Linked DNA regions of Astyanax mexicanus. The protein of the gene in region 3 purifies or fractionates together with the protein of the main gene of each other region. This does not show direct contact. Links are inferred from orthologs where the notes say so. Each region holds a gene or a part of one and is shown on either strand. Other genes may lie near its edges.

The links.
Region 1: the proteins of lin37 (region 3) and rbl1 purify together in Homo sapiens (affinity purification with mass spectrometry; 3 studies listed by BioGRID and IntAct, with this or other methods). This does not show direct contact. The link is inferred for Astyanax mexicanus from reciprocal best matches to the Homo sapiens genes LIN37 and RBL1.
Region 2: the proteins of lin37 (region 3) and e2f4 purify together in Homo sapiens (co-immunoprecipitation; 4 studies listed by BioGRID and IntAct, with this or other methods). This does not show direct contact. The link is inferred for Astyanax mexicanus from reciprocal best matches to the Homo sapiens genes LIN37 and E2F4.

Annotation. Positions count from the first base shown.
Region 1 is NC_064412.1:57,360,256-57,371,918, reverse strand, and holds the start of rbl1 (retinoblastoma-like protein 1), read right to left. Parts: upstream 5,057-11,663; 5' UTR 4,939-5,056; coding exon 4,777-4,938; intron 3,739-4,776; coding exon 3,605-3,738; intron 2,584-3,604; coding exon 2,383-2,583; intron 1,779-2,382; coding exon 1,714-1,778; intron 935-1,713; coding exon 806-934; intron 93-805; coding exon 1-92. Other genes in the region: zinc finger protein 585A, read left to right, coding at 7,314-8,750; zinc finger protein 501, read right to left, coding at 11,278-11,663. UniProt on the Homo sapiens protein: Key regulator of entry into cell division. Directly involved in heterochromatin formation by maintaining overall chromatin structure and, in particular, that of constitutive heterochromatin by stabilizing histone methylation.
Region 2 is NC_064417.1:15,560,145-15,571,111, forward strand, and holds the start of e2f4 (transcription factor E2F4), read right to left. Parts: upstream 5,057-10,967; 5' UTR 4,813-5,056; coding exon 4,657-4,812; intron 1-4,656. UniProt on the Homo sapiens protein: Transcription activator that binds DNA cooperatively with DP proteins through the E2 recognition site, 5'-TTTC[CG]CGC-3' found in the promoter region of a number of genes whose products are involved in cell cycle regulation or in DNA replication.
Region 3 is NC_064425.1:26,441,468-26,452,384, reverse strand, and holds the start of lin37 (protein lin-37 homolog), read left to right. Parts: upstream 1-5,606; 5' UTR 5,607-5,717; coding exon 5,718-5,805; exon of another isoform or gene 5,806-5,814; intron 5,815-6,118; exon of another isoform or gene 6,119-6,171; intron 6,172-6,956; coding exon 6,957-7,052; intron 7,053-9,063; coding exon 9,064-9,139; intron 9,140-10,147; coding exon 10,148-10,198; intron 10,199-10,917. Other genes in the region: proser3 (proline and serine-rich protein 3), read right to left, coding at 2,236-2,393, 3,280-3,566, 4,533-4,641, 4,756-4,766.

The sequences.
Region 1 (11,663 bases), on a different chromosome or scaffold from region 3:
TTTCGCCTCTACAACCAGACCATCGTGGAGTTCACACAGCTCCTCAATCACTGAAGGAGGCTCTTCTGAACTCACAGAATCCTTTGGAAAACCTGAAGGAAAGAGAGGAATACAGTTTTATTGCTCATTTTTCCTGGTGTGGAAAAGAAAAAAATGATAAAGACATTTGTTTTGTTTTATTCTACATATATGTGTCTTTCAAAATATATCCAGGAACTGGCAGTTCACTAGGAGCTGACGCAGAGGTGGACCATGACAATGCAACATGACAATGACCCAAACCAATAAGGAACTAAATGCTCTAAAGAAATAAATAAAAAGTAGTTCTAAAATGGTCACGTCAAAGGCTGAATCTTAATCCAATTAAGATGCTGAAGAATGATATAAAATAAGAAGGGCATGCAGCAAACCCCTTCAAACATCACACAGCTGAAAGAATTCTGCATGGAGGAGTGGGATGAAATTCACACAGGCAATGTCAAAGACTGGTAGTTAGTTAAAGGAAATGTCTAACTGGGGTTATTTCAAACAAGGAGGGAAATATCAGATATTAGTGGATAGGGTGTCCTAAATTTAAAAGCTCAAATGTTCATATGTTTATGTATGTTTAAAAAGATAGACAAAGATTGTGCTATTTTTTTTTACATGACTGCAGCTACTGTAAACACTCAGTTAGAATTAATACAGAATGTTAAAATAAAGAAAGAAAAAAAGAAACATGATAAAAAGGTATGTGATATTCAAAGCAGTACAGAAATATATATGTCCCATTGTCTTCTTAATGCTTAAAAATGATAATATTTACCTCTAAAAAGCGGATTGACAAGGTCCTTCTTATTGGCGCAGAGTAGAGCGTTACCATACACCAGATCCAGACAGCAGAGGAGGAGATGGTAAGAGTTCACCAGATCATCTCCGATCATACGGAAATTACCTGCGTTACATAATTAAATCAACACAGTTTTAGAGCTCGGAAAAAGAAAAAAGAAAAAGCGCACCATCAATGAACGCTAGTTTCTGGATTATTTTCATACATAAGGCACACATGATTATAAAGTGCATTTTAAGCGACACTAGTAAGGAATAGGGGTCTTGCCATGTTTACCTTATAATGGGGAAGCTGGGGAAACAGCAGCGGTAGATGCGGTTAGCGCTAGTAAATGCAGACCGATATAGCGCTATACGGAGAACCGTGAGTGTTTCTCTAACTCAGGGCGATATTAGCAAGCGGTTCGTCCCACGTAGCTTGTTTTAACACGGTAAACATGCAGACTACAGTCTGATATACTTGCCTCTAAACGATGAAAGAGCTAGCGCTTAGGCTGGTTAGTGGCTAATGCTAATGTTGCTGCCCCTGCCTTAGTGCTGGAGAAACTTCTATAAAACGTCACAATTATAACTCTGTACTTCAGTGAAGTGTCTTTACTGCTCCTTAATACCTGACTGCCAGAATTTATACATAAGGAGCACCGGATCATAAGGAGCTCTGTTGATTTTTGGCAAAAGTGCACCTTATAGTCCAAAAAATACGGTTACTGATTGATTAATTTTACCATTGCTTTTGCAACATTCCATTTTACAATAAAGAGAAAAGGTCTACAAGCTTTTAGACATACAGTGTTCTGCTGCATCTCATTTTCAACACTTTACATTCATTAATAAAGAACAAACTAGCATTTCTTGACATAAGCCCATAAAAGAAAAGCAACCAACCTTTAGTGTACACGAAGAGAGTCCAACAGAATTTAAAAACGTCACTGATGTGACACGGAAGGCGCCTAGAAGAGAGACAACGTAATTATAAACCATTTATAACTCAACAAAATAAATAAAAGTGAGAAACTATGTATAAACATTTATTCTCCCACACTTAGTTACGACCCTGCAATGTGATTGGCTGAGAGGCGTTCTATGAGTGCTGTTATCAGCCGGTAATGCACTGTAACCGAAGCTCTCCATGTATTACTGTATTACTCTGCCACATACAGGTAACCTAGCAACGATGCAGCGCTTACAAGCCAAACAGCGCAGCTACAAACAGAGCAGCAATGGAACTATTTTAACTGGTGGAGTTTTTATAACCAAATAGATCCTATTTTCTCCTCCTCTTTAACTCTTTAAAATCTTTCAGAAAACAGTGATAATGGAACTGTGGTATAATAATACAAAAACAATAATACACTCTAGGTTCGAGTTATAAAGTGTAATATTGGCACTGCTGTACTCATCTACTCTATACTCGGCCTGTGGCCTCGTGCCTACAACCGCAGCACAGCAGTGCCAATATTACACGTTATAGCACGAACCTCGAGAGTATTATAACTTAAATTTAACACAGTTAATGGATGATGAGAACACATGAAGACACGAGTGGAAATTCACCTGTGCTTCCTGCCTCTCGGCACGCGGGGGGGTTCACCCTGAGGATTCTGAAACATGTCCAGAAAGATGGGCTCAAATTTACGGAAAATCACAGTGGACACTTCAAAATTCCTCTCCAGGTGGCTGATTCGGTTCCGGAAGTCCTGCAGGAGGTTCGACATGTCCGCCCATTTCTTCATCTTACTGAAGAACTGAATCAGGCTGGAAGAGAGAAGAAGAGGAAGATCAGAATAATGGAATAGTGGTTTTCTGTATTTTATTGAATTCAGTAGGCTCTGTTTGGTTCTATACACCCTTGTGAACAGTGCTATTTTGCTGGGCCACTACCTCAGTATGGCTGCTCACCACTGATTAAGAAGCTGATTTCACTCATTAAGCTTTTGAACCCCAGCTTATTTTGGTGTGTTTTTTCTCTGTTTTTGTCAGTTCCCATTTTACTCGTTATAACACAGTTATGTGAGGTGAAAGACACATGCTATTACTTTTCTTTATACAGACTTTATGTACAGACTACAAATTAATTTACACAAGTGTTTTATTTTCAATAATAGTTAGATTAGAGTGTATACTAGTGGAAAGAATAAGGATTTTGATGATAGTTCATTACATGGCTTATTACTGCGACAGAATACATGAGCAGCACCAGGCGTATCTAATGAAAGTGATTTAGTACACTGGATATTTACTATTAGCTGCTTATAATAACAGTAACTATTATAATAAAGAGTTCTTCAACAAAATGATCAGATAAATGCTGTTTAATTATAATATACACTATATAGATATATATATATATACAAAATAGAAAAAAACAGTAATTCTCCTCATTCAGATGAGCTTCTGTCGCTGCCCATCCATAACTGAAGCCTGTGAGCACTGACTCTCTCAGAGCGCACCTGAAAGCTGCGTGTGCACTGTGTATTTCACAATAGATTTCTCAAAATCACTTCAGTTCAGCGGGGGGTCAGTTCGATTTTTTTAAACAATAGGGTTTCCTGTTTGTCACAATGTATGATCAGGTTGGTGCGTAGATGCGTTCCTGAGTAATTAAGTTGTATAAACAACAAGCATGATTTTTGCCGCAATTTGCGTCAATTACATTCAAAGGGTTATGGGTGGTGTTGGGATACTTCTGGATACGAAGCTGCACTAAGCTAGGCAAACTAATGTTTTTAATGAGAACGTATGATGACATGAGACAAAGGTGCAAATAACTCTTTACCTGAGTTTGGAGGAGCGCAGTATCCTGGTGAGGGAGACGCAGTTTCCTTCCACCAGTCCTCTCCCCACAGTGGGAATAGAAGCCTTTCTACAGGCAGCGTACAGAGCACAGGCCAGCCAGTGAACCACCTCACCCTGAGAGAGAATACAATCATACACACCATTAAAATCAGACCAGGAGACGCTTCTGTACAGAACATTAAAACACAGGTACTGCATTCTAGTCCAGGACTAGATCTCTAGTTATATACGTACTACAAATAACTATAATATAGCAACCTTGAATACATTACAATTAAGATATTTCCATACATATTGTGCTATCATACTGTGAAGCATTATGACTGTTGTACATAACTGTTCTTCTATTATTATTATTATTATTATTATTATTATTATTATTATTATATTTTCTGCTCTATGTGTGATATTCAAAATATACATTTGGTAATGAGCACAATATGTCCTTCTGTGGTATTTTTTATATTCAGATATACTTATTTATTTATTTTTTTTTTTTCCTTAGTGTAGTGTGTGGTTTGTTTATTCACTGGTCAGTGTTATTTAACCCAGGTACCTGTATCTGTAAAACTGTAAAAGTTTATCAGAGTAGAGATATAGTTAGTTTTCGTAAAGTCTTGCTTTATTCTAATTAATAAATACATACATACATACATACATACATACATACATACACAAATACATACATAATTAAATAAACAAACAAAGCAACAAATTCCGGATGTTTTAAAAGTGATACACAACAAAAGTCCTATAAACAACGGGTTATATGAGTTTTTAATGTTTGGTCAAAGAGGCAAATCATACTCAAGCTTTTAAAAAGTTTTTTTTTAGGGAAATATATTATTATTATTCTTTTGTTTGTCACACAGCTGACTGTATGTTGGAATAGTCCGTTCCACCTTAAGATCCAACACAGACTACTGTAATAATTTAAGGTGGAAGGGATTGCTCTGATCCCAGGTCAGCTGTGGGCTTTAAAACATACACTTTAATAAAGAAGCTTCAGCTGCTCTGCTCTGCCTGTCAGTTACATAAACGCGTAGAAATAACAGTTTAATGAATAAATCACTTGTAAATGAGAGTAAATACTTTATTTATGTGGTTTATTTAAGGGTAACGCTGGTTTATGGGGGTAAAGAGCTGGTCTACCTCCAGGGTGTAGGTGTTCCAGATGGAGGTGAAGTTCTCCAGAGCCTCCTCCGCGGTCTCCTCGTCCATGTTCAGCTCCTGACACAGCGCCTCCAGCCGCTCCCGGATCAGCCCTCCGTCCTCCGGCCCACCGAGCCCGGAATCCGACCCGTTTCCCCGCATTCCTCCCGCTTCTCTCCGCGCTGAAACTCTATAAACCCGGTTTATCAACAAAGAACCGGAGCGCCGCGGTTCCTCCAGCCGCTATCCCACAATGCTCGCGGTCCCGAATGGCGCGAAACCCGCGCGCTCTCAGCCAATGGGAGCGAGGCAAGAACCTGCCTACGTCACGCGGAGCGACAACAACAATAATAAAACATGGCGGCGAGATAACTTACCAACATCTCTGTGAACCTGAACTTTAGAGATATAATATGCGTTTTTTTTCATACATTGACCTATATTAGCAATATATTACTAATATTTTTATTTATTGAGTAAATACTACATTTACCGATGTAAATACTTGACTCCAATACCAAAATATTTTAATCTTTTTACTGGATTTACATTACTATATTGAAATCCTTTAGAATGACCAAAAACAAGACATTTCTAAAAACTTTACTTTTTAAATTTGTGATGAGCTTTCACTGGCCTTTATATTTAGGATTTTCTCCCCCTTTTCTCCTTAATGTAACTATATTTTCATGCTGTTTTCTACTGTGTTTTATGCATTAACTTAAAATCCAACATAATGAAATAGACACAATATTAGACCAAATTAACATTGTATAAAACAAACACAATTCACAAATATAACAAAAAAAAAACTTAAACAGACAAACCTATTGTGAAAAATAGGATTCAAATAATACTGAAAAGCTTCAAGCTATTCAAAGATTAAGGACAATAGTTGTTTTTTTAATTGTAATATAATGTCAAATATTTTTCCATTACTCCTGTGTTCTTGATTTTGTATTATTTATAATGCATATATTGTACTGTTTATTTTATCTATTTTCGGCACTGAGTGCCTTGCTATTGTTGCAAATTCCCCCACTGTGGGTAAAAAAATGATGATCTTATATAATAAATGTATGAAATGAGTGTATCTTTTTAGAAAATTAACATTTTGTGTATATAATATTTACCTAAAATTCTAATCAAGTTTACTTTAAATCTCTCCTTGTAGTCTAATAAAGGGTCATTAAAATATACAATATATATACTGGAGGAATTTCCTTGAATAAGGGGGATAGAATTAGTGTGTATTATGCAACTGGGACAGAGACAAACACACTTGTAGAACTTTTATTTTGACAGGGCTAGCGGCTCCTGGGCGGAAGTAGATTTCTGAAGTTTGATTGGCTGCTGGGCTCCTGGGCGGAGCTCCGCAGGTCTTCCGCTGGCGTCTTCTGAGCGCGAACACGGCGGAGTGTCAGTAGTTAGTTTACTCTGTATTCAGTGTTTCTTACTGACTTTAATCAGGTTTTTTATTGTCCTAATAACTTCTTCTGCCAGCGCACTGTGTGTATATGAAGACTGTAGGTGAATCTGGTAAGGTTAATTAATGTATATTATCATGTTAATCTGAGCTAAAGGCTAAAGCTGCTGTTTCCATGTGGGTCAGCCAGACGTGACTCTTCCTGTAGCAGTTTTTTTCTCCAGTTTCTAAGAGTCTTTATTTGAAGGTGTAGGAAACAGTACTCACCGCTCTCTGACTTCATCTGTAATTTCTCTAAAGAAAAGAAAGACTTCTACTTTTAACAGTTACAGAGTTCTGTGTGATTCTGTGTCTTTTTCTAGTTATTATGATGAAAGTGTGAATGTGCTGTGGGTAAATGTGTAAATGCTGCATATATACACTGACATTTAAGGCAGGAAGTGAAGGGTTAGTTACTGATACTGCTCTTAAACCACAGCAACTCATGCAGATTAGTTTGTGATGTCTAGACAGGCAAATCCGATTTGATCACTCACAAATAGCAGATTTGCTCGCAGTCTGAACATAGTCATGTTTAACCATGTTACCAGAACTTTCACTGGTTCACACCTGTCGTTAACATGCATCCAGGGTGATCTGATGACAAAGGAGTGTGAAAAACACAACCGTTCACACCTTTTGCATTTAATATGCATCTTAAATGGCTGGGATAAACAGTTGTGTGTTTTGGCAATCTATTTGTTCAGTTTATCCATGCCTCGGACTGGTTACTCACTCTCCATTACTGATTACATCAAAGTTTACATGAACTCTTACGCTTACTGGGGTTTCTGTATTATATGTTAAGTGATTTGTTTGATTCTTTGTTCTGTAAAGCTGCTTTGTGTCAATATCAGTTGTATTTGATCTGTGACCACTTATTAAAATCTAAAGCTAATCAAAATGTCCACAACTATTGAGGAAATGTTTTATTTTTTCTTACAGAAATGAATGCACACATGTTCCAAGTCTCCTGCTTATGGTGTTGGATTTCCAAATTTAACATCACAAATAAACCCAGAGGATCACAGGATTTTACCAAAATTTCAATCTACTGAAAGAGGGGAAGAACATGGCACCCAGAAAAACCTCCAATTCTCAGCTAAAATCCTCTCCAAGACCTCACAGACAAATAAAGAAAAATACACCCAAGATTAAAACTCACCAATGCTCAGACTGTGGGAAGATGTATACTAGAGGGAGTAATCTCAACCGACATCGGCTCCTTCACACTGGAGAGGAACTCTTTTTCTGTCCAGACTGTGGAAGGAGTTTTAATAATCCGTTTAATCTCACCATACACCAGCGCATTCACACTGGAATAAAACCATATCAGTGCTCAGACTGCGGAAAGAGTTTCACTCAATCTGGTCAACTCAAAACACACCAGCGGATTCACACAGGAGAGAAACCGTATCACTGCCCAGACTGTAAAAAGAGCTTTAATCAACAGAGTCATCTTCTTCATCATCAGCGCGTTCACACAGCAGAGAAACCGTATCACTGCTCAGACTGTGGGAAGAGTTTTATTTTTAAGAGAACTCTCCAACGACACAAACGCATTCACACTGGAGCAAAAGCCTATTACTGCTCCGAGTGTGGAGCGAGTTTTACTAGAAGTGGCAGTCTCAAAATACACAAAAGCATTCACACTGGAGAGAAACCGTATCACTGCTCGGAGTGTAATAAGAGCTTTAATCAAAAAAGTAATCTAAAGACACACGAACGCATTCACACAAGAGAGAAACCGCATTGCTTTTCAGACGGTGGGAAGAATTTTGCTAAAGGGAGTAATCTAAACACACCCCATCGTGTTCACACTGGAATAAAACTGTATCAGTGCTCAGACGGTGGGAAGAGTTTTGTTCAACAGAGTGATCTCAAAACTCACCAGCGAATTCACACAGGAGAGAAACCGTATCAGTGTCCAGAGTGTGGGAAGAGTTTTAATCAACAGATTAGTCTCCAAACACACAAATGCATTCACACAGGAAAGAAAACGCATTGCTGTTCAGACTATGGAAGGAGTTTTACTAGAAGTACCGGTCTCAAAAGACACAAATGCATTCACACAGGAGAGAAACCGTATCACTGCTCAGACTGTGGGAGGAGTTTTAATCTTCTGAATACTCTCCAACAGCACCAGCGCATTCACACTGGAGAGAAACCGTATCACTGCTCAGACTGTGGGAAGAGCTTTGGTCAACCGAGTCATCTTAATCAGCATCGGCGCATTCACACTGGAGAGAAGCCGTATCACTGCTCAGTGTGTAAGAAGAATTTTACTCAAGCGAGTGGTCTTATTCAACACCAGCGCATTCACACTGGAGAGAAACCGTATCACTGCTCAGACTGTGGGAAGAGCTTTAATCACCCGAGTCATCTTAATCAGCATCGGCGCATTCACACAGGAGAGAAGCCGTATCACTGCTCAGATTGTGAGACGAGCTTCAGGTACTGTAAAACACTAGTGTCACACAAGTGCATAAAGAGCCAAAGTAATGAATGAATGGATTCACACAGGGCTAGATTGGTTTGAATAGATGTTGTCCCTTAAAAAATAAAATTATAATTTAAAGACTGATTTGTTTTTAATATTTAATAGCAGGCCTGGAAATTCCGTGGAATGGCCCTTATGCAATCATTATATGAGGTATTAACATTTCAGGGTTTTATATATATATATATATATATATGCATTTTTGATGTTTAATCAAAGCTTTATCAATAAAAAAACGTCATAAAAAACTGAGTCTGTTTGCTCATCAGGTCACGTTAAGAAAACAATTACAACTTTATGTATGTTGTTTATTACGATGTCATGAAAAGCGCAAGAATTTATGGATAGATAAGTGTCTGTATTTCTAAATAAATGTTCCAGCACTACAACTAATGTTAGTCAACAGCTAAGACTTTTTATGCTGTATGTTTTGTGTTAATATGTTATTAATCTGAAGAGTTTAAATGACAAAAATAAAGAACAAAAATATTGTATGTTCTAAAAATTTTAATCGGAAGTATGTATATATAACAATATTGATATTATTAATAATATTTAGATGTCAACAAGTGCTGCAATTGTCTCGCATCGTTTCAGAACTTTTATTTTGACAGCTAGTTGCCGGAACTAGAGTTCTGCGATTTGATTGGCTCCTCATCCGATCAGCTGGACTGGACCGTCCTCAGCTCTTCTTTCTGTTGTAAAGGTGAGTTTAGTCATAAATTAACACAGGAATAATGGAATAACATACAGAATATGCTCCTGTTATTTCAGCAGGGGGATTAGAAATGTAAATTTGAAGCTACTTAAATAAATGCTGAATTACAGAAATGCTGAATTCTGTGATCTCCTGAGATCTAAATTAAATAAAAAAAATCATGCAGCTGTCACTGTGTTTATTCATCTACTAATAACCTCCAGTCAGTTAAAACTCTATATGGCTGCAGGACAACAGATGCATTAAGCTGACTCATGGGCTCTGCATTATTTAATATTGCAATACATATAGCCAAAAAAAATAACATTTGCAATATCATGCAGCACTATTCTCAGTACATGTGAATGTAATGTTATTTTTTTTCTTCTTTCTCCTCTGTCAGTATCTGTTACAGTGAACACACTTCCATACAATAATTTAAACACTACAAAAACCCCAAAATTAAAAGCTCCTGTGACCCAGAAACTGTTTTTGTGACTCCATCTTGCCGCCTGTTCAAATAATAAAGGAGACAAAAGAAGCTTCTTTCCGCGAAAGACATTACAACTGAGGCTGTCATTACTGTGGGCATGCATGAAGACTATACAAACAATTTATTTATTTATTTATTTAATTGTCTGTTTGTTTACGTGATACACTGTGCATTATCATGACTGTATAATATCCAATATCTTACACAACACTTAGTATGGACACATAAAATGATAAACAAAATAAACTAAATATAAATATCACACAAGGCTTTAAAAAATGATTTTTAATGGTGATTTATTGGATGATTACATCATTTAACTTCACTTGGCCGGAACATGTACAGTATAAATAACTTTTATAAGATTTATATAAAGACTGTGAACACTTGCCAACATGCAAAATAACATGCTTCAGTTACAGAACATGATATAGTTCTAGGCCATTTTAAGCCATAAGAGGGCCGACCTATTTCTAAACATTGATTGGCTGCAAATATTTTAAGGTTAAAATCCTGATCCTGTTAATCAGAGTTCATGTCTTTGCAGTTAATTTTAATAACCATACGATCTTTAAAACATCAGTGCAGACATGGAAAAAAAACAAAAATCTAAGAATCCATGTCAAAACCAGTTATAGCAGGCCTATATTAAAATGTCACGTTTCACTAGCTGAATAACATTTCTGTTATCAGTTAGAAGTTACAATTTCTCACTCATTCGAGTCATTTTTAGACCAAAACATCATACCGTGGCCTTATTTTGGTGAAAAATGAAAAGTGCATATTGTTGCATATCTCAATGAAATTTGGTCCAATTGAACATGCCCAGGCATTTTCTCAATCATTTGACTAATTTTTCATGGAAAAAAAACAAGGTTTCCTGATTGGTCGAAAATGACAAAACGTCATACTGTGGCCTTACGTATTTTGGTGAAAAGGATGTGGCTTGTTTTAACACGGTAAAAACACAGACTACAGTCCATTATTGGATAGTAGACTGTAGTCTGCGTTTTTATCCTGTTAAAAACGGTGATTTTGGTGAAAAGGACGTGGCTTGTTTTAACATGCTACGTCCAATATATTGCATATTGGACTGTAGTCTGCGTTTCTACCGTGTTAAAACAATCTATATCCTTTTAACCAAAATCACCAAAATAAGTAAGGCTGCATTATGACGGCCTTACAAGCGCTGTATTTATAAGCGCTGTACTTTAGTGGAGTGGCTTTAACGCTCCTTAATACCTGACTGATAGAATTCATACATAAGGAGCACCGGATTATAAGCAGCTCTGATTATTTTTTGGAAAATTAAAGGATTTTAGGTGCACGTGTTTGTAATTCATATTTTATGAACATGTTTCAGAAACTGTTTCAAGCAACATGTTTTTTTCCTCTATAAACAAGCCAGCCCCGTTGTTTAAATCTGGATTTGTAATTTTGGAACCTGGAATAGTGTGTATCTGCTCACTTATGTGACTGTTCTTCATGCACTTGTGAATCTTTAGTGTCTTTGAGTGTCTGAAGCTCTTCTCACACTCTGAGCAGTAATACGGTTTCTCTCCGGTGTGAATTCGCTGGTGCTGAAGGAGATTACTCTGCTGTTTGAATCTCCTCCCACACTCCGGGCACTGATACGGTTTCTCTCCAGTGTGAATGCGCAGGTGTTTTTGAAGGTGACCCAGTTGTTTAAAACTTCTGTCGCACTCTGAGCAGTGATACGGCGTCTCTCCTG
Region 2 (10,967 bases), on a different chromosome or scaffold from region 3:
ATAGTTCAAATCAAATAGAAGAAAGTAACATTTACATGAATACTCTAGATATAACACAAAGGAACTCGCAGATTCTTTTTTCTGATCATATAGGCATATTCTGTAAAACACACATTAGCTCAAAAATACACGTGTCCATATGGTCAAAGGCACAGATGGTTCAGCCATAGCTCTTGCTATAAAAGTATTTTTTAAATGTAACTGTCAGACATTCAAATACGTTTGCCAGCTAACATCTCCACACACTCTCCACTGTGTACGTGCGCGTGTGTGTGTGGAGGCACCGTTACTGGTGCAGCTCTGTGTGAGTACACTCATTAACCGATAGATGTCGCTGTCTGACAGATTCGACTTAGCCTTAGCCAGAGAGCCGGTGAGGAGCAGCACTAGAAATCTAACGTTCTAATGTAAACAAACTCGCGCGGAGACCCGATGGCTGTTATCGACGTCGGCAAAAATGATAGCGGTTAAAAATAATTATCATACAATAAGTCGGTAACTTAAGTATCACGACAGGCCTATTTATAGTGTTTATGGAACAATTTTAAATATTTAGTTTTGTAAAGGAAGCAGTGTTAAAGTTGTTGGCATATCTCTTTTGGTCTATTCACTTTTTTCAGGTGTTTTGCAGCTAATGAAGTCTGATTTATTCATTCATTTATTTTTTATATTATACGTACTTCTAACAGTACATTAACTCACAAACCTATATTAAAGCCCAGTCATGCAAAAAAATAAATTAAATTAAATAATACCGTGATATACCTTAAAAAAGACAGATTCTTGAAAAATATCCATGATATACATTTTTACTTGACATTAGTGGCCTGTCCAGGGTGTACTCTGCCCTCCGCCCGATGCCGGCTGGGATAGGCTCCAGCTTCATTTCACCCCAGCCCTCCGGACAAAGTGGGTATTGACGATGGATAGATGTTGCTTTACATTAGGTTTAGACTAGGGCTGCATGATATTGGATTTTTTTTTACATCGCATTGTTTTAGTTGTCTGCAATATATATCCCCAATATTACACAACGCAGGATCAGTGACATCACCAGCCCCACCCCCACCAGCACGCTGTCTCAGGACAGAGATCTGGACAGACCAAGAGCTGAGTCAGCATTTTAGAGTCAGCTAAGCACTCAAAACTGGAGGAAAACAGCAAAACAACAATAATTAAGCATTTACATGGCCTTTTAAAAGGTAAATAATAGCGTGTTTCTGGGATTAAAAGCATGAATTCAGCTGGAAATATTTGCGCAAAACTGTGTGGAAGTGAGGTGCACAGCTTTGGACAGACTGTCTGAAGCTGTTACAGGGTTCATACACTTTTCAAATTTTCATGACCGTACAGTCTTTAAAATATCAGTGCAGACATGAACAATAAAACTGATTATAGTAGGCCTGTATCCTACTTAAAATGTGTTTTTGCTCTCGGGCTATGTTGTTCTTTCAGAAACTAAAACGGAGCTAGTCATTTTCCTTCTAATTTCAACATTTATTTTTAATGGAAAATGTGGAGAGATTAATTGAAGATATATATGTATATAAACCGACCTACACTGAATAAGCATAACCCCCTCATTCACACACACACACCTCTCATCTCTTTTACTCTCAGTCCTACAGGCAGGGGCGGGCGCTCATGTCTCCTCGGTGGGTTTTAAGAAGTTAAATCTGGACAGTCTGTTGAATCACAGTTTAAAGGAACAGCGAGATTTCGTTGCTTTAGCGCTGCAGGGTAACCGGGCTTTTCCCGGGGGTAAATACCAGGGCCGGAATGAGAGCAGCAGCATCAGTCTGGTGTTTAAGTAGCTAACGCTAGCTAGCCCGTGCTCCTTCTCCTGTGTACAAAGTCACATTTCTGCAGTTCAGGTCCTCGCGTATCTGCCTTTTATTAGTCTGAATGAAGCCGGAGAGCACTAAATCAGCAAGTTTCTCTCACTGAGTGAATTAGAGTTACAGTGCAGCAGCTGAAGCTCCGGTTGGATTTGCTGTTTTGAAATTTCATGACTTTTCCAGGTTTTCATGACTGTACGAACCCTGCGGTTACCTACCGTGTTTACGCTAGGAGTGGGCGATATGGATCAAAACCTATATCTCAATATTTTTTTTCTGAATTGCGATATACGATATATATTTTGATATGTTTTCATCCCATAAGGTAATATCAAAAAGATATTTAATATATATATATATATATATATTTTGTTCGATATTATTTCCGATTTTAGGGTCACGATTCCATTCGATTCTCGATTTTCTTTTTTCTTTTTTTTACAGCAGAGAGGCCTATGCCAGTTTTAGATTAGTCTATGGTCAGTCATTGGTTTGATTCATCAAATTAACAATAGCTTATTTCAAAAGGTGGGCTTGATATAAGTGATGCAAAGTGATCTGTAATACACCACATTAGGCACTAAAGGTCAAATTTAAATAAATTAATTAAGATATATATGTAATGCAATCTATTGGCTTTTTTTTGGTAGCAGCAGTGTGCAATATTAAAACAGCAATGTGCAACAAAAAAATAAATAATAAACAAATACAGGAATGTACAAAATAATAGAACAATTAGAGCCTTAACAATCTGAACTCTATCCTATTATAAAAGTTAAACATGAAAAATAAGACTCGGTCTCTGAATGCGGTATTTTCGCAATATTTATTGTGAAATAACGCACTCAGCTCCCTCGCCCAGGAAGAAGGAGGGGGAGGTTTAAGTTGAGCAGCAGGAATATGGAAGCGGTGAGGGAATACAGCGATTTTAAAGGAATAAAATCAATGATATTAACATTAATGTATCTTAATATAACGGCAGCCCTGTGGAGTGTGGATTATTAGGAATGTTGTCTAATTTGTGTGGTTAGTTTATTACAATGGAGACACGGCCTTTTTAATACTTCTGTCGTCACAATTATTCCACAGGTCCTGATATATTTGGGAGAACCGGCTTGGTGGTAAAAGAATGCAGCACACTTCTCCCTTATTGGCAGAACTAACAACATCTCTGCTGTTCAGAAGCTAAGATGCACAACACAAAGCCAATGTTTATGCCGTTTTTATTGATTAATACCCTATATTTGATACTTACAATAAATCCAAATTTAAAAGTAATGTAATTAAATGTATTTTTTTACTTGTGGTATTTATTTCTTTATTGTGTTTTAAGTATTTGTATATGTACCTTGGAAAAAGTATGTTGTGAATTTTAAAATATTACTTATCTAAACAAGGAAACCAATTGGTCATTCATTATTAAGTGAAATGTCTTGTTTTCCCTTGTGTCTTATTAATTGCTCTTTAACCAAGCAAAAACGTTTTATCCGATTACTCGATTAATCACATAAATTTGTAGTAGAGTACTCTATTACAAAAATAATCGATAGCTGCAGCCCTATTATCACAGATCATTGGCACCTAGTCCTGATAGTATAGCGCATGTGTGTGTGCGGCACTCACTTAACAGGACAATACGATGTGTAAATTCAAAATAAAGGCCCTTTAAATTATAACAAAAATAATATTTTACTCTGAATTTAAACTTTTTAAAAGGAATCCATCTGCTAACTAAGATAAGTTCTACCCAGTCCTGATAGTACAGCACTTTGAGTCACACACTTAAAAATAGGACAATATGATGTGTAAATGTAAAATAAAGATCATTTAAAGTATAACAATTATTACATTCCAAAAAGCCTTCATATTAACAGGTGGATTGTCTTTAATAACAGTCTAAATATTAAGTCAAAATAGTTATAATTGAATGGGCCTTTATATTGTCTGTATATTGTCCCGTTATTAAGTGAGTGACATATACAAATGGTGTACTACAGGACTACGTGAAATTGATCTGCGATATCATATTCCTTATAATACAGGTCTAAACCTAGATTAAAATAACAATTGTTATAATTTGACGGGCCTTTATTTTGAAATGACATCATAATGTCCTGTTGTCCCAATGCCCCAACGCGGCGGCTACTTTGACCAAGTATGTGGAAGTGGAGGCTGGCTTGACCGCAGTACAGGATCAGTAACCCCCAGTTCCACCACATAACAATAATAATAATAATAATAATAATAATAATAATAATAATAATAATAATAATAATAATAATAATAATAATCTCACTATGGCTAATTAACTAGATAACTAATAAAGGCAACATACGGCAACTCATGACACATAGTCAGCTCTGCAATGCTGAGGCGCGCAACTAACTGGCTGTTTTCATTCTCTCCAAGTGCCGTCAAACAGGCCGAGACTAACTTTCGAACAACTTTATTAAAAGATTCACAACTGAAACAAAAACTCCACGATTCTGAGCAGGGAAGAGGAGTAAGACAAGCTGTAAAAGCATTACAAAAGTTTCCACGGTAAATGCACACGATGAGCTAGCTAGCTAACGCTAACCAACAACGTGCTAACTGGGGTCCGATCTCAAGCACCCCCGTGTTCCCTTCTTAACTAGTGTACTAACAAGTAACGGAAGGTTTGGCAATCAATAATGAGGTCTATGAGGGAATGGTAAGCCCATTTTTTAAAGATACGATGCACTACTTTCCCCAGAGAAGCCGATATATTATGAGCTGTGCAGCGCCCTACACAAGGAGCACGGAACCATTTGAGACACGGACAATATGTCATGCTTACGGCTTTGAGGTCCAGCACTCCATCCTTCGCCTCCTGCAGCAGGGTAACAAACTTGGTGGTTAATAGTCCGAGGCTTTTCTCGTGGCGGCTCGGCGTCGCCGGCTGCAAAGGTTCCCCCATCGCTCCCAGTTCGTTCCGCCCTGAGTCAAATTCCATCCAAGTTCTGGTGCTGCTTAATGTCGGCGGTTTGTCTCTGTGAGTCTGTCATATATCTGTGAGTAAGTCGATTGCTTCTCTTCAGTCCAGCAGTGTGCGAAACATGGAGTGGAAATTCGAGTTTAACACGGGTCGGGTCCAGTCCAGTCCAGTCCAGGACACGGATCCGGATCCGGAGCTCCAAGTGATCGCGTAGCTACACACACACCGACTGCACTACTTGAATGACTGAAGCCGTTAAAACGCAGTGCATCATGGGAGATGAAAAGAAGACATTATTGCAGCGTGTGGAAGTTCCTTTAGGAGGCGACAAAACAGCGAGTTCACCGCATGGGCTTTTAACCTTCCTCTAGTGTTACTATTGCTTATGTTAACGGGTCGGTTTTGACCCATGTCTTAAATCAGCCCTAAGATACCCTAAAAACAATTATTTATGATCCAATTTGTTTATCACCTCTTAGTTACCTTGTTAGGGTTGATCATCCATGAAAGGTTTGATTTTAAAAAATTTTTTTGGGGCCCCCTGGGCCCTTCATTTGAGAGCATACCCCTGATTTTCAATATAAAAATATTGCCAAATGAACCTCAAGAGAATAATAAAACTTTAAAAAAGGTTGATATATTCCCTGACTATTACTGAAGGGTTTTAGAACACATTTCTTAAATGTAAAAAATAAATACATGTATATGTTTTATAATATTAACTCTAGTAACATCTATGGTGTTACAGGTCAATTTTAACCAATATATAAAATACTTTAAGAAAAAGGCAAAGAACAGAAATGTTTTTTATAGATAATAATAATAATAATAAAATGGAAATTTTCAAGGTCAAACAAACAACCAATCAAGCAAATCAAACCAACAGAAATCAAGTTCTAGTTTTTAGGTGCGTTAGTATTGTTAGAGGCATGTGTGGCAAAAAGTGAAACTTTTTGTGTGTTCTTTGCAGAAGTATTTTTTGCAGGTGAAGCACAATGTATTTGTCTTTCTGTCCTTATTGCTAGGGCAGACCTGAAATTTCTTTATTTTTGAATCAGATGGTCACTCTGGGGTTGTGGCTGTTGTGGCTGATGTTGAATGCATTGTGTGCAGACACATCAAGGATGTTGTAAAATACAAACATTGACCCTCTTCTCGTTATTGGCTAGCAAGTGTAGGTGGCAGTCAGCTTGTCCATGGTGTCCACTGCTCCTTTGTTTTTGTTATAGTCCAGGATGATTCTGGGCTTTTTGTCACGAAAGGAAGCAGGAACGGGAGCAGCTTTAGCACTGATGTCCTCCTCATCAGACTGATCACGTGTCTGTGTCTTCCAGTCGATAATCCACATCATCTTCCTCCTCAGAAACCTGCTCATCGTTAGCAACTGCCTAGCAACCACTTAGCAACACCTTAGCAACCACCTGGAAAACGTTAGCAACTGCCTAGCAACCACTTAGCAACCACTTTAGAAATGATAGCAACTGCCTAGCAACCAGTTAGCAACACCTTAGCAACCACCTGGAAAACGTTAGCAACTGCCTAGGAACCACTAAGCAACCACTTTAGAAATGATAGCAACTGCCTAGCAACCAGTTAGCAACACATTAGCAACCACATGGAAAACGTTAGCAACTGCCTAGCAACCACTTAGCAACCACTTCAGAAATGATAGCAACTGCCTAGTAACCACGTGGAATACATTAGCAACTGCCTAGCAACCACTTAGCAACCACTTCAGAAATGATAGCAACTGCCTAACAACCACTTAGCAACCACATGGAAAACTTTAGCAACTGCCTAGCAACCACTTAGCAACCACTTTAGAAATGATAGCAACTGCCTAGCAACCAGTTAGCAACCACTTAGCAACCACATAGAAAATGTTAGCAACTGCCCAGCAACCACTTAGCAACCACTTTAGAAATGATAGCAATTGCCTAGCAACCAGTTAGCAACACCTTAGCAACCACATGGAAAACGTTAGCAACTGCCTAGCAACCACTTAGCAACCACTTTAGAAATGATAGCAACTGCCTAGCAACCAGTTAGCAACCACTTAGCAACCACATAGAAAACGTTAGCAACTGCCCAGCAACCACTTAGCAACCACTTTAGAAATGATAGCAATTGCCTAGCAACCAGTTAGCAACACCTTAGCAACCACATGGAAAACGTTAGCAACTGCCTAGCAACCACTTAGCAATCATTTTAGAAATGATAGCAACTGCCTAGCAACCAGTTAGCAACACCTTAGCAACCACCTGGAAAATGTTAGCAACTGCCTAGCAACAGCTTAGCAACCACTTTAGAAATGACAGCAACTGCCTAGCAACCACTTAGTAACCACATGCAATACGTTAGCAACTGCCTAGCAACCACTTAGCAACCACTTTGGAAATGATAGCAACTGCCTAGCAACCAGTTAGTAACCACTTAGCAACCACATGGAAAACGTTAGCAACTGCCTAACAACCACTTAGCAACCACTTTAGAAATTATAGCAACTGCCTAGCAACCAGTTAGCAACACCTTAGCAATCACATGGAAATCGTTAGCAACTGCATAGCAACCACTTAGCAACCACTTTAGAAATGATAGCAACTGCCTAGCAACAAGTTAGCAACATCTTAGCAACCACCTGGAAAATGTTAGCAACTGCCTAGCAACACCTTAGCAACCACCTGGAAAACGTTAGCAACTGCCTAGCAACCAGTTAGCAACACCTTAGCAACCACCAGGAAAACGTTAGAAACTGCCTAGCAACAGCTTAGCAACCACTTTAGAAATGAAAGCAACTGCCTAGCAACCACTTAGCAACCACTTTAGAAATGATAGCAACTACCTAGCAACCACTTAGCAACACCTTAACAACCACTAGGAAAACGTTAGCAGCTGCCTAGCAACCACTTAGCAACCAACTGGAAAACGTTATCAACTGCATAGCAACCACTCTAGAAATGATAGCAACTGCCTAGCAACCACTTAGCAACCACTTTAAAAATGATAGTAACTACCTAGCAACCACTTAGCAACCACCTGGAAAACGTTAGCAACTGTTTAGAAACAGCTTGCAACCACTTTAGAAATGACAGCAACTGCCTAGCAACCACTTAGTAACCACGTGGAATATGTTAGCAACTGCCTAGCAACCACTTTAGAAATGATAGAAACTGCCTAGCAACCACTTATCAACCACTTAGCAACCACATGGAAAACGTTAGCAACTGCCTAGCAACCACTTTAGAAACACCTTAGCAACCGCATAGCAACACCTTAGCAACCACATAGCAACCACCTAGCAACACCTTAGCAACCACCCCAGATACCATAGCAACACCTTAGCAACCACCTAGCAACACCTTAGCAACCACCTAGCAACACCTTAGCAGCCACCCTGGATACCATAGCAACACCCTAGCAACCACCTAGCAACACCTTAGCAACCACCCCAGGTACCATAGCAACACCTTAGCAACCGCATAGCAACACCTTAGCAACCACCTAGCAACCACCTAGCAACACCTTAGCAACCACCCTGGATACCATAGCAACACCTTAGCAACCGCATAGCAACACCTTAGCAACCACCTAGCAACCACCTAGCAACACCCTAGCAACCACCTAGCAACAGCTTAGCAACCACCCCAGATACCATAGCAACACCTTAGCAACCACCTAGCAACAGCTTAGCAACCACCCCGGATACCATAGCAACACCTTAGCAACAACCTAGCAACACCCTAGCAACCACCTAGCAACCACCTGGTATATGTTAGCAATTGCCAAGCAACCAGTTAGCAACAGCTTAGCAACCACCTGGAAAACATTAGCAACCGCCTAGCAACACATTAGCAATCAAAAGTTTAACCAAAAGTTTTACGATTTCAGCATTTAAACAAGCATTTTTAGATTTCAGCGTTTAACCAAACGTTTTTAGATTTCAGCGTTTAATCAAACGTTTTTAGATTTCAGCGTTTAACCAAATGTTTTTAGATTTCAGCGTTTAACCAAACGTTTTTTAGATTTCAGCGTTTTTGGCATTTAGCGTTTAGCCAAAAGTTAACAGCATATCAATGACTCTTCATACTCTTCAGACGGAAAAAGCTTAGCAACTATTTTAACTTTTTAACGTTATTAGTGTTCTTTTCCAAGCCAACTTAAAGTTCGTTCAAGAACTTTACCTTTTCTAGTTCTACTTATTATTCTATTCGCGAAATTTAATCGACTACTCCTCCTACAGCTTTTGACGTAGAATGACAAAATTTTACAGTATCGTAGGACCTATACCCGATTAGGTTGCTTATGCTTTTTGAAGCGATATATCGTATGGTTTTCGTAAAAACTTCGTAAACGTGCGCCTTTTTTCCCATAGACAATGAACTAGGAGAATTTTGAATAGCCGTGTACGGCACAATTTTTGAGATACGAAGACCAAATTCGGAGGGCTTATAGATCTTGTCGAGATCTTTAAATTAATAAAATGATACGTTGTACGGTTTTCGTACAAATGTCGTACGAAGTTTCCCCATAGAAATGAATGTGGGGCCCAGAATTCCATCTTGCACACAAGCAGCTCTGCGCACGGAACCCCTTCTCTCCCCTGCTCCTCCAGTACTGTGAGTGTATGGAGGAGCTGCTGTATGGAGCAGCTATCAGTCAAAAGTTTGGACACCCCGGCACCCCTGCCAGGGTTTAGCAACCACCTATTAACTGCTTAGCAACCACCTTAGCAACCACCTGGAAAACGTTAGCAACTGCCTAGCAACCACTTAGTAACCACCAGGAATACATTAGCAACTTCCTAGCAACCACTTAGCAACCACTTTAGAAATTATAGCAACTGCCTAGCAACCAGTTAGCAACACCTTAGCAACCACCAGGAAAACGTTAGGAACTGCCTAGCAACAGCTTAGCAACCACTTTAGAAACGATAGCAACTGCCTAGCAACCACTTAGCAACACCTTAACAACCACTTTAGAAACGATAGCAACTGCCTAGCAACCACTTAGCAACACCTTAACAACCACTAGGAAAACGTTAGCAACTGCCTAGCAACCACTTAGCAACCACTTTAGAAACGATAGCAACTGCCTAGCAACCACTTAGCAACACCTTAACAACCACTTTAGAAATGATAGCAACTACCTAGCAACCACTTAGCAACACCTTAACAACCACTAGGAAAACGTTAGCAACTGCCTAGCAACCACTTAGCAACCAACTGGAAAACGTTATCAACTGCATAGCAACCACTCTAGAAATGATAGCAACTGCCTAGCAACCACTTAGCAACCACTTTAAAAATGATAGCAACTACATAGCAACCGCTTAGCAACCACCTGGAAAACGTTAGCAACTGTTTAGAAACAGCTTGCAACCACTTTAGAAATGACAGCAACTGCCTAGCAACCACTAAGTAACCACGTGGAATATGTTACCAACTGCCTAGCAACCACTTTAGAAATGACATAAACTGCCTAGCAACCACTAAGCAACCACTTAGCAACCACATGGAAAATGTTAGCAACTGCCTAGCAACCACTTAGCAACCACTTTAGAAACACCTTAGCAACCGCCTAGCAACACCTTAGCAACCACCTAGCAACACCTTAGCAACCACCCCAGATACCATAGCAACACCTTAGCAACCACCTAGCAACACCTAAGCAACCTCCCGGATATCATAGCAACACCCTAGCAACCACCTAGCAACCACCTAGCAACACCTTAGCAACCACCCCGGATACCATAGCAACACCTTAGCAACCACCTAGCAACCACCTAGCAACACCTTAGCAACTACCCCAGATACTGTAGCAACACCTTAGCAACCACCTAACAACACCCTAGCAACCACCTAGCAACCACCTAGCAACACCTTAGCAACCACCCCAGATACCATAGCAACACCTTAGCAACCACCTAGCAACAGGTTAGCAACCACCTAGCAACATCTTAGCAACCACCCCGGATACCATAGGAACACCTTAGCAACAACCTAGCAACACCCTAGCAACCACCTAGCAACACTTTAGCAACCACCTGGTTTATGTTAGCAACTGCCTAGCAAACAGTTAGGAACAGCTTAGCAACCACCTGGAAAATATTATCAACTGCCTAGCAACAGCTTAGCAACCACTTCAGAAATGATAGCAACCGCCTAGCAACACAT
Region 3 (10,917 bases):
CAATAATACTCACCTCTGAACGATGGAATAGCGAGCGTGGTTAGTAGGTAATGCTAATGTCGCATCAGCAATGTTAGCCAGGGTTAGTAGCAGGCTACAGGCTAATAATACTCACCTCTGAACGGGTAAACAGCAGTTAGCGGCTAATGCTAATGCTACTTCAGCCCCGATGCTAAAGAACAAAACTGAAACGCTTGTATACCACTGCAATTTGGCCTTTTTTCGCCTACTAACATTCAAACATAAGATGCACTGAATTGAAAGCCACACCGTCAATGATTGGGAAAATGAAAGGATTTTAAGTGCGCCTTTTAGTGCGAAAAATACAGTATTATTTTTAGTAATGTAAATGTCTGAATATGTACAAATTGGGGCTACATAAAACTAAAAATATATATAGCTAGGCCTGATTTTTAATAATAATTACATAGTTATCGTATTGTCATAATATATGAACATGACATCAATAATTTTTAATGACCTCAATATTTATCTTTGTGTTTAATTTAGTGAGGACATCATTTTACTCAGGCAGTCAGTCCAATAGACCCCATTATCCCTGTATTCTGACACATTTTTTGACATAAATTATAAATATAAAGCAAATTATAAATATGAAACAATTATATATTTAAACATTTAAATATTTTCCAATAGAAATGTTTGATTTTTTCCCTAATAATAATAAAACATTTATTGCTCTAAAAAAGTGTGTAACTGCATCCTAATACTTTACGATTAACCTAGATCAGTGGAATACAATGGTCTTAAAATTCCAATAATATCTTTTATAGAATAATTTCTGGGGTAGTGACAGGCCTATATATTGTGACATTAAAGGCAAATGCATGGACTCATCAGATTTCCAGATGTCAATCAGCCAACATTATTAATACACATGAATAGTAAATACTGTACTAAAATAAACAATTCTTATAAGGCCGAACATACTTATATATTATATTTTGTTAGAAGGGTTTGATTAAAACTTAAAAAATGCATTCTAACAGAGAGGTACAAGCAGGGTATTGAAAGTGCACAATCACTCAACTTAAGCATTAAAACATTGTTTTATTTTATGGGTGTTCATATTTCGTTGTATATATGCAACATCTGGTTTCCCTTTAACAAACTATTTCTGAATGACTGCTTTGACATTTCAGCAGATGGCACAATGGACACACACACTTCTAAGATGTCCTTTTCAGGAAGGCATGGTTCATAAGTTTTCTCTCAGTTCTTGCTGACATTTTTAAACCTTATTTAAAAGTGAAAGCAGCAGTTTGTGCAGCATCCTGTTAGATGTATGTCGAGAAGACAAGTCTTCAGTTTCTTTCTAATTTCATTTGGCATTTGAGATCAGGCGTGTCACTCTTCCTCTTACTGAAGTCTGCTTCCTATTTTATTAAATCCCAGTAGATTTAAGAAGCCTTGAGCCGTTCTGTTTTTTAAAATGTTTTAATTATATTACTTGTGTTGCATGTGTTTCCTTTGCATGTGTTTAAATATACACAGATACACAAATTTATTTTAAACTTCTGATACTAATACCAGATTTTCAGGTATCTGCTAATGCCATGTACAGATTTAGACATGAACTCTGATTCAATTGCCGTATTTTTCGCACTTAAAGGTGCACTATCAATAAACTTATATTTTCAGGTCTATTTTCACACATAAGGTGCTACAGATTATAAGGCATATTATGCGACACTAGTAAGGAACAGGGGTGTCGCCATGTTTCCCTTCTAATTTAGCAAGTTTTGCTGCTGGGTGGTGGTGGGGCTAGCTAGCATTAACTAAATGAAGTAAAGCTAAGCTAGGTAAACAAAACTTCAATTGAGTGCTGGATGTTAAATCTACACTGATTTCCCTCATGAAAACTTTTTTGGATAAACATGCAGGCTACAGGCCAATAATACTCACCTCTGAATGACGGAACAGCTAGCACTTAGCACCAAATGCTAATCCTGTCCCTATCTTGGTTCCTTGGGCTAAACTGAAACTCCTGTATAACGCTGCACTTCAGCAGAGTGCCTTTAATGCTCCTTACAACCTGACTAGTAAAATTCATACATAAGATGCACCGAATTATAAGGCACACTGACAATTTTGGGGAAAATTAAAGGATAGTGGGGAAAAATATGATACTCAATACATAAAAATGTATTCGTTTGATTTTGGTATCCTGCCAGAAGTGACTGTAGTGAGCAGTGTCTTATACATGTATCTCACCTCTAAAGTGTTCCTTGGAGATTTGGGTGGGAGTGGAGCTGGAAGGCTGTGGAGAGGAAGAGGACATCGACCACAACGGATGTCCATCTAATCCAGTTGTCACCCTCTGTCTTTCCTCACGGCTTTGTGGTCTTCCATAACGGAATCGCTCAATATACCTTGGAAAGATAAACAAAAAAAAATTGCTTTTTTAAAATGCTCTTGAATGTATAAAGTTTCAATATTTTAATATTTTTATCCTGAAATCCTGCTTTTTCAACTTCTGAACAGAGTCCATGTCCACTGACAAAGGGTACTTGGACATAATAATATAAAACCATTAACAGTATATTGCTTTTTGGTTCTTTATAAGTTAATTTTAAAAATGTTTGTCCACAACAGAGAAAAAAAGTTTAACTATTCTCTGAATTACTGAAGCATCCAATGGGTTCCTTTAGCTTTCATGTCTTGATGCGTGAATAACGGAAAATACAGATAATAAAGATTTTTTTTACATATATGTTTTTAAAATCAGCATTACTGAGCAATATAAACAAGACAAGAGCTTTTTCACAAGTTGCTATAGCATTCAAGATGATTACTATGGTGTGGATAGGTGGTGGTGGAGGTTAAGATAATGTACCAGGTGTTTACTGAGTGGTTCCATAAAAATGAATGGGAGTGAATGGGATAAACAAGGGATGAAAAAACAACAAATGGTCAGTGCGGGTCAGTGTGGCTGCGGTTTAGAAATTGTGGACCTGCCTCAAAGAAGTAGATGCAGTTTGGGGGCTGTCAGACAAAAAGGAAATTTGGTTTGGGTATGGACAAAAATAAACAGAATTGAAAGGAGCAACAAGGAATTAAAAATTGAAACAACTCAAAAATGTATGTCAAATTGGCAGTTTCTGTCCTGAAACAGTACTGGAGTGTGGGTGGGGGTCAGTGCTGACATTATGTAAACATTCTGCTCTATTAGAATACAATAAATAAACAAATTACCATCAAAAACAAATATGGATTTGAACTATTATTACAGGGTTTTACCCTCCCTGTGTGTCATACTTTGCCAGTACTGAAGATTCCTGAGTTCCACTGGGCTCTGTGTGATCTGCTGTTAAAGCCTGGGGCTCTGAGGAGGATGAAATTGTCACACTGGCAGGAGAGGAAGACTGATCGGTGGAAGGCCAGGACTCAGAAAATATCTGCTGATCTTTTACAGACGGAGGAGGGCAGAAAACAACTCGGCGAGATCCTTTAAGGAAGCGCTGGTCCTCTGGGCTGAGAGCTGCAGCGTGAGGAGAAGAGTCAGGAGAACTGGCCAGCTGGTCAAAGCGGACAGGGCTCAGGGCCTGGAGAAATATTCATCATTTAGCCTTTACACAAACAGTCAAATCATAACTAAATTAATCATTAGGATTTTTCACTTAATGTCACAAATAATAGCAAACCTAACATGCTACCAGTGAGTAATGCAAATCAAGTTTTTACTAGCAGAATTTTTTATTTTAGAAATCAAGTATTTATTTTATTCAGGGACTGGAATTTACTATATTTTTGTTCCTTTGGTCACAAAAAAACAAACTACCGGTAAAATGCAGAGAAAACCCCTCACAAACTAAAGTGCACTCTCCCAATATAGGAGGCTTCTCATGGCGGGGGATGTGAAGGCTAGACTACTCCTTTGACTCCCAAATAAAAACATTTATTAAAACAAAGTTGTATAACTATGAAATTAAAGTCGTAATATTACGAGAATAAAGTAATAGTATTTTAAAGGAAATGTAGTTGTAACTGCTTGGGATGCAGTCTAAGAAAGAAGCACGGAGGGAGGGGTAGGGGCATTTTGTGCTCATGATCTGTTACAGGGCTGCTGTGATAACCATCAGTTATCTACATTTCTAACCTGCTGCTTATGTATGTTCTAGTGTTACAGTTAGGTAATACAGTGTCCAGATTTTGACACGGTGGCGTCCCCGGTAGCCTACCTAGTTGGGAAAGCTTGTGCTACTTTTTTCCGCTGCATTTTAGTTTTGCTTTCGTGACCATAGGAACATAAAAACAGTCAATTCCAGTCATGAATAAAGGAAATAAACTTTATACTGATGAAGGACAACTGTCTGTGTGTACTGCAGTAGCATTTAAGGTTGCAAATTTTGGTCGGATCATCAAAAAAAAATACAAGCTGTTATTTGTTTTTTGGCATTATATTTAAAAATTAAATAATTCTCAAATGAAAATCAAAAGACCAAATGATACTGGTAGCCACTTCATGATATCCATTAAAACAGACACACATATACACAGACAGATCTCACCAGTCTCTTCTGCTGCTTAGGAATCTTCTTTGCTCGAGATGGATTGTAATGGGCTCTAGTGAACTGTGGTTCTGGAGGAAAGGGGTTGTGTCTGGTGAAAACAGGATCACTGTGAGGAAAGATTTAGGTGTTAGATTACCATGTCTATTGAAAGCACATATGGTTATGTGCTTATCACAGGACATCAGAATAATACAAAAAACTGCTTCAATTTCTATCTCACCTGGACTTCATGATGATATTCCCAAAATTTCTCACAGTGTTATAACCTTATCAGATTATACAATTTTGGCATATTGTAACAATGAACAACTGAATCAGATGGATTTTAGAAAAGCAGTAAATATTTACCTATGTTAGTTAGGTTAGCTAATAAACAGCTATCTAGCGAAACTTATTGCTTAACTAGGCTACACATCGAACTAACGTTAACGTTGCCTTAACCAGACAGTTGATGACAAATATACTAACTGTAGCTTAGTTAGCTAACCTAGCTTGCTAACATTAACCCAGCGAATTAAGTAGTTTACTAAATGTTCTGAGCGGTTAACAACATGTTCTCAAATCGTGCTGTCTTGTAACGCACTAAAACGTCTATAAAAACACACAATGTTGTGAAATATGAGTTAAATAAAGCCTCACATTTAACCTAAGCGTCTCCAAACATTAACTCCAGTAGGAGAATCTCTATAGAGAAGAGAGTTCCCACTTCAGAATGTTTTCTTGCTTTTTCAGACACTAGAGGGCGCTCCCGATGGAGTCTAAACTAAATGGGTTTAGAAGAAGCAACTGAGCAAAATCATAATTTATAAATGTTTATAAATTTTATACTAAAATATTTACTCACTTTTCTTAACACATAGTAATATAAAATGTTAAATAGCGCAGATATATCTTTAAAATAATGTAAACGCCAGTTATTGGTGTTTTAAATGTGCTGTTGCTCCATCAGCTCCATTTAGAAGGAGCCCGCGACTCTCTCGCGGGCTCCTTCTAGCGGTGTGTGGTAATTGTGTGAAGATTATTGGCCAGTCTCGCTATAAACCGGCTATGCTTTTATCTCCTAGCTACTCAAAACTGTTAGAAACGTCTAAATGGACCGCGAAGAACCAATCAGATGCTGAAGCTGCTGACTGACAAGCCTTTTAACTAATAACATTAAGGAACGCCTAATTGCGTTGACCAATGGGAATCGGGAAATCGTCTTGCGCGCGGAAGAGGAAAGTCAAGCGAACAGAAAAGAGAGAAGAGAGAGTAGCTTTCCAGCTAAACGGTAACTAAGGTGTGATTTATAACGGTGGACACCACTGTGAACATTATTTTTGTAGCAGTTAAATATAATATTAGACGTTTATTAAGCGCTGAGTAAGTGTTTTGCTGGTGTGTAAATGACTGTGTTATTTATAATTATCTCGCTGGCTGGTAAAGTCAACCCTAGCTAAACGGCTAAGCTAGGTTAGCTATTGAGCTGGTGAAGCTAGGATAACTTCACGGCTGTTTGTTACTGGTTGTTTGAGTTGCTTGGCTGGTTTATTATGGTCATTCATTATAGTTCTGTATGTGTTTTCTAATATTTACTCCTAAAGGGACATACATATATGGAGCAGTTAAAGGTTCCGATATATCAGCGCAACAAATTGTTAGCTAGCGATTTAATATTGTGTGTGTGTATGTGTTTTTTGTGTTTTTTTTTTTTTTACCTCGAAGCAAACAGTAAACATAACCCACATAACTAGATAAGCTATAAGCTATTACGCCCCCCCTAATGTATTTAAATAATAAATCAATAAGTTTAAATAAATAAGAAGTCTACATATAAAAGTGTGTTCTCTTACTGAAGATCTTAATATGAATGAACAAATGTGTATATATATATATATATATATATATATATATATATATATATATATATATATATATATATATATAATACAACAAAAATTATGATAACCTAGATGTTTTTTTTTTTATTTACCCATATGAATAATCCTCATTCTAAAGCTCACAAAATAACAAAAGGCCTGGCATTGCTTTTACCAAAGTATACATTAATGTATAAATCCCAGGCTCTACCAAGGTAGTTAGCTAAAAAAGAAAAGTAAGATGTTTCCAGTAACAGAGTAACTGCACTGCAAAGTGATCTAACATCCTGGCTGAGTTTGTCCAAAATTATCTAACTTAGAGTAACCCATAACCAAAGTTTTAGGTGAGCATGTGTTATTACACCAAATATGGTAAAAAGTACCTTTAAAACATTGAAGGGAACCTAGGTTCAAATAGTCAATTTCTTTAATAACCAGTGAATTAGCTGTTATGCATTTTACAGTCAGATTGTCAGTCACTACTGCGACAGTTTTATACACATATTTTATGTTTTTGTTAAGGCAGTGAATATTACTGTCTGACAGATGTACCTTTTCACAGTGTTTATTAATGGATTTGGCTGGGAAGAGCATTTCTTAAGTGAGGTCCAGTCTGCAGTCACAATGCTTCACGTGAAAATCAAGACCGAGAAGCCAGGTAAGCCTTGAACAAAATTTATATTTGGATTCTTTTGTTCTGTTGTACACTTTTATTTTTTTTGTGAATATATTTTTATTGTTTTTTCCTTTTTTCCAAAGAAACAGGTACATATAGGCACACAACTACAACACTATACACAACACAGCACACACACCTCCATCAAGAGTAAAAAAAAAATAATAATAATAAATAAAATCTCCGTAGAATATATAGCAGACATCCACATACATCCGCCTACATACAAATTAACACACAAGCACTCAAAGCACCCTTACATAATACTATGTAACAAATACCCATTCATCAGTTTATTTCAGAAAAACTTATTTTTTATGAAAGCAATAGCTTCTGACCAGTATCGGATTGTAGCTGCTTTAGCATGATGTAATCTGGCAGTGGCCCTCTCCAGCACAAGAACAAAAAAATATAAAAAAGTATGTTTTAAAAGAATTTTCTCCTCCAGACGGAATTTTAATATAGAGATTTTATGGCTGCTGTAACTGTTGTACACTTTTTAACAAAACAAAAAATGGAAATTATTACATAGTCTCAGCACTGTTCTTCACTGTATGAGTGTTTGTTTTTAACCGAGAAATATAGAAAAACAACAGCAAACAGCACTTGTTCACTCAGAAAAGAGTCCATTTTAATATATTAGTACTGTAGCTTAAAGGATTTTTTTAATGCACACTGAATAGAATTTATTTGTTAACTGGGTAAAGAAGGGAGTTGTGGTTAATTTTAATACTGTATTGGCTTCAATGACTTCAGAAATAACATATAGTAAATTGATATTGAACTTTTCTCACTTGGGCAAATGAGCTTTTGAGAAATAGTTCTTTTAAATATTTAAATATTGTGAATTTTTGGTCAAATTAAAAAATATTTTGTTTTGTAAAGAAAGCTGTGTTATAGTTGTTGGCGTGTGTCTTTCAAAGTCTATTGTTTACATTTTTCAGCTGTTTTTCTGTTAATGAAGTTGGATTCCTTCATATATTGTGTAATTTTGTGGGACAAAGTAAACCCAATGCCTTATAGTAAGTACAGTACATTCCAAACCTATATAAAAGCCCATTCATGCAAAAAAAAATAAAATAATGAATTACAGAATTTTGAAAACTACAGTGAAATACGTCTTTGGTTATATGGTCCAGCACTATACTGAGGCATTTAGACACTGAGTCTTGTCACAAGAGAGTATAAAAGTGCTTCCCCTGCTGCCCTTTAATAGACCACTGAAGTTGTGCGTCATTATGTAGTCCTCGTACGGCTTCCGTGTCTAAGTGGTTTTTCCTTATGAGAAAAATTAATAGGGTTTTCAAAAACTCGCCTCTGTCTTATTCTGTCGTAATAAATCTATTCAGACCCCTGTACATTTTATTTTTGTAAATTTTATTCCTGAACATCACTGGAGATCGTTTAAGAGTCGTAATGAGAAAAATGCTAACTTTAAGCTAATGCTACAGCGGAGTGAACTGACCTCCGAGCCCAGCTGCAGAGATCAGCCGGGGACTATTTTCGGCGAAACGCCAGCAAACTCCGGCCGTAATCCTCTGTGAAGAAGAATAATAATCCAAATGTGATCTGACCGGAGGTCGCTGTTGTTATGCAGAATCCAGTCCGGTGTCGTTTCCAGCTGCTGTGCTGAAAAAGTTAGCATTTTTCTAATTCCTCACCTTAAACGCAGGCCAGTTTTTGAAAAGTCCTTTCAAATTCCCTATTTATTTGAGCCGCTTAGACAAGGAACCCCAAATATTGGCATAAACAACATGGCGCCAACTACAAAATGACGACATGACTTCAGTGGTCTCTAAAAGCTTTCCGAGGCAACGTTCACTAGTTCAGCCTGTAATGCTGTGTTTAAAGAAAAGAAAAAAAAAAAGCAAAAAAAAAACATTTAAATAATTATCATATAATTTTAGTGATTACTGCTATCAGCTGACACTGACTGCTAAAATAATCTAAAACACTAAATATTTAACCAGTTATATATGATTTTCTTTTATAGATATTGAAGGTGCCGGTGCCCGAAATCGACTTGATGCTGTGTTGCAAGGTCTGGTGGACAAAAGTGACAATGAGAGGTCAGTATACCAAGAAGAGTGCAGTTCACGGATAAATAGAGATTGCGTAATTCACTGTAAGCAAGCTGAGAGCCGTGCATTTTCAGTGAGTTGTCCCGTAATTGTTCCTTATTTAGGATACTGTTAGTAATTCCCTCATTTTTAATACCTAAGAATAAATAGTGAAAAAAGCTCAGAAAGAATGCAGACAGGAACACTAAATCACAGGGACCTTTAACTTTTAACTGACGTTTGTTTAATATTTTCTCTTCTTACAACTGTTAGTTGTCTGTATGGTTCTATGCATTAGCCAGGCTTGTAAATGTACAGCGTTTGCTATTGATCTTCTTCTTGTTTCCTTTGATTTGATTAGTCTAATTGTAAATTAAGCAAATTTCCTTATTGGGGTTTAGGGATCCTAGTGAAGTTTTCTGTAGCCTTATATTTCAGAAGACAGCAGTTTTTTTTAGACCATTAAAGCTTAACAGCAGGGATGTTATAACATATTCAGCTTGAGTCAGAGTCAGTTCAACAGCCTTAGAGATCATACATAATAGAATGGATTTATTTTATCTATTCTATCTATCTATCCATTATGTGGAATCATTTTTTCACATTGTAATATCAAATTGTTTTTTTAGTGGCTTGTTACATTGCTACATAAAATAAACATTAGGACATTTGTGTGGTAAAATGTGTGTTAAGTGCTCCTCTAATGCTCAATTAGTTTGGGCAGAAAAAAAAGCATGGTACATGTCAAGCTTTTATCAAAAACCACTAGCGAGCACTTTGCTCAAGGCTGCTGAAAGTCATGGATACGTACATTAATTAGCCTATATCTGGTTATAAAATTAGCATACCTGATTAAACTGGTGTTCTAGTGATTCCTGTTTAATGCAATTACTTGTTAAAAATGAGTAATGTTTTTGATGTTCTTCAGGAAATGGGTTTTTCTCAGAATACAGACTCAGCTAAGTGTTGTAACATTATCTTATTAGTAACCTCTACCCTCTTCCTTTCCCTGTAAAGAGACCAAAATGAAGAGGATGCTGGAAAAATGGTTGCAGACTCTATGGGCAAGTATGTGCTTGTTTGGCTTATTTGCATGAACAAAATCCTCACACATCTTATACAGACTCTTCCTGTCTGAATAGTATTGCTGACACTGTATTGTTGCAGAAACTGTCAATTTAAGTTCAGCTTAGGCAACATAGACTACTGATACCATGAAACAACATAGAAGCATGACTGAAAAACTCATGTCTTGATTTGCTTAAGAGAAGTGGTGATGTTTGAGATAGTGAAATAAAGTCGTCAATCTGCTGCTTTAATTACAATGTTTCTACAGCATAATTACAGCATGTCACACAAATGACCCATGCACATGTTTGTTAAATTGTTGCATAAGTAATATTGGTTATTAAACCGTGGCTGTGAGCTTTGTGGCATGCTGTTAATTCAAGCCTGCTTTTGCTGTGCGCTCTAACCGGAAACTGTTTCTGGTACCGCCTTTACCAAGATAAATAATATAACAAAAAGTGAAAATTATGTGTAGCTGTAGTTCGAGCAGTTAGGTAAAAATCATTATCAGTGTTTTATGTCAGCAGATATGCTTGGCTCAGGTTAAGTATTGGAAGGATTGAAAAAAGGTGCAGGTGCATCCTAAATGCTTTTGCAGCTTGATGTCACAGTTCTTTTGCACTTCTTGGTAGATTAAAATTATAAATTTTAAAAAGAAATCTGTGTTATCTGTGTTATTTCTGTCTCAGATACAGATAGACTTGTACTCTTTTTTTCTT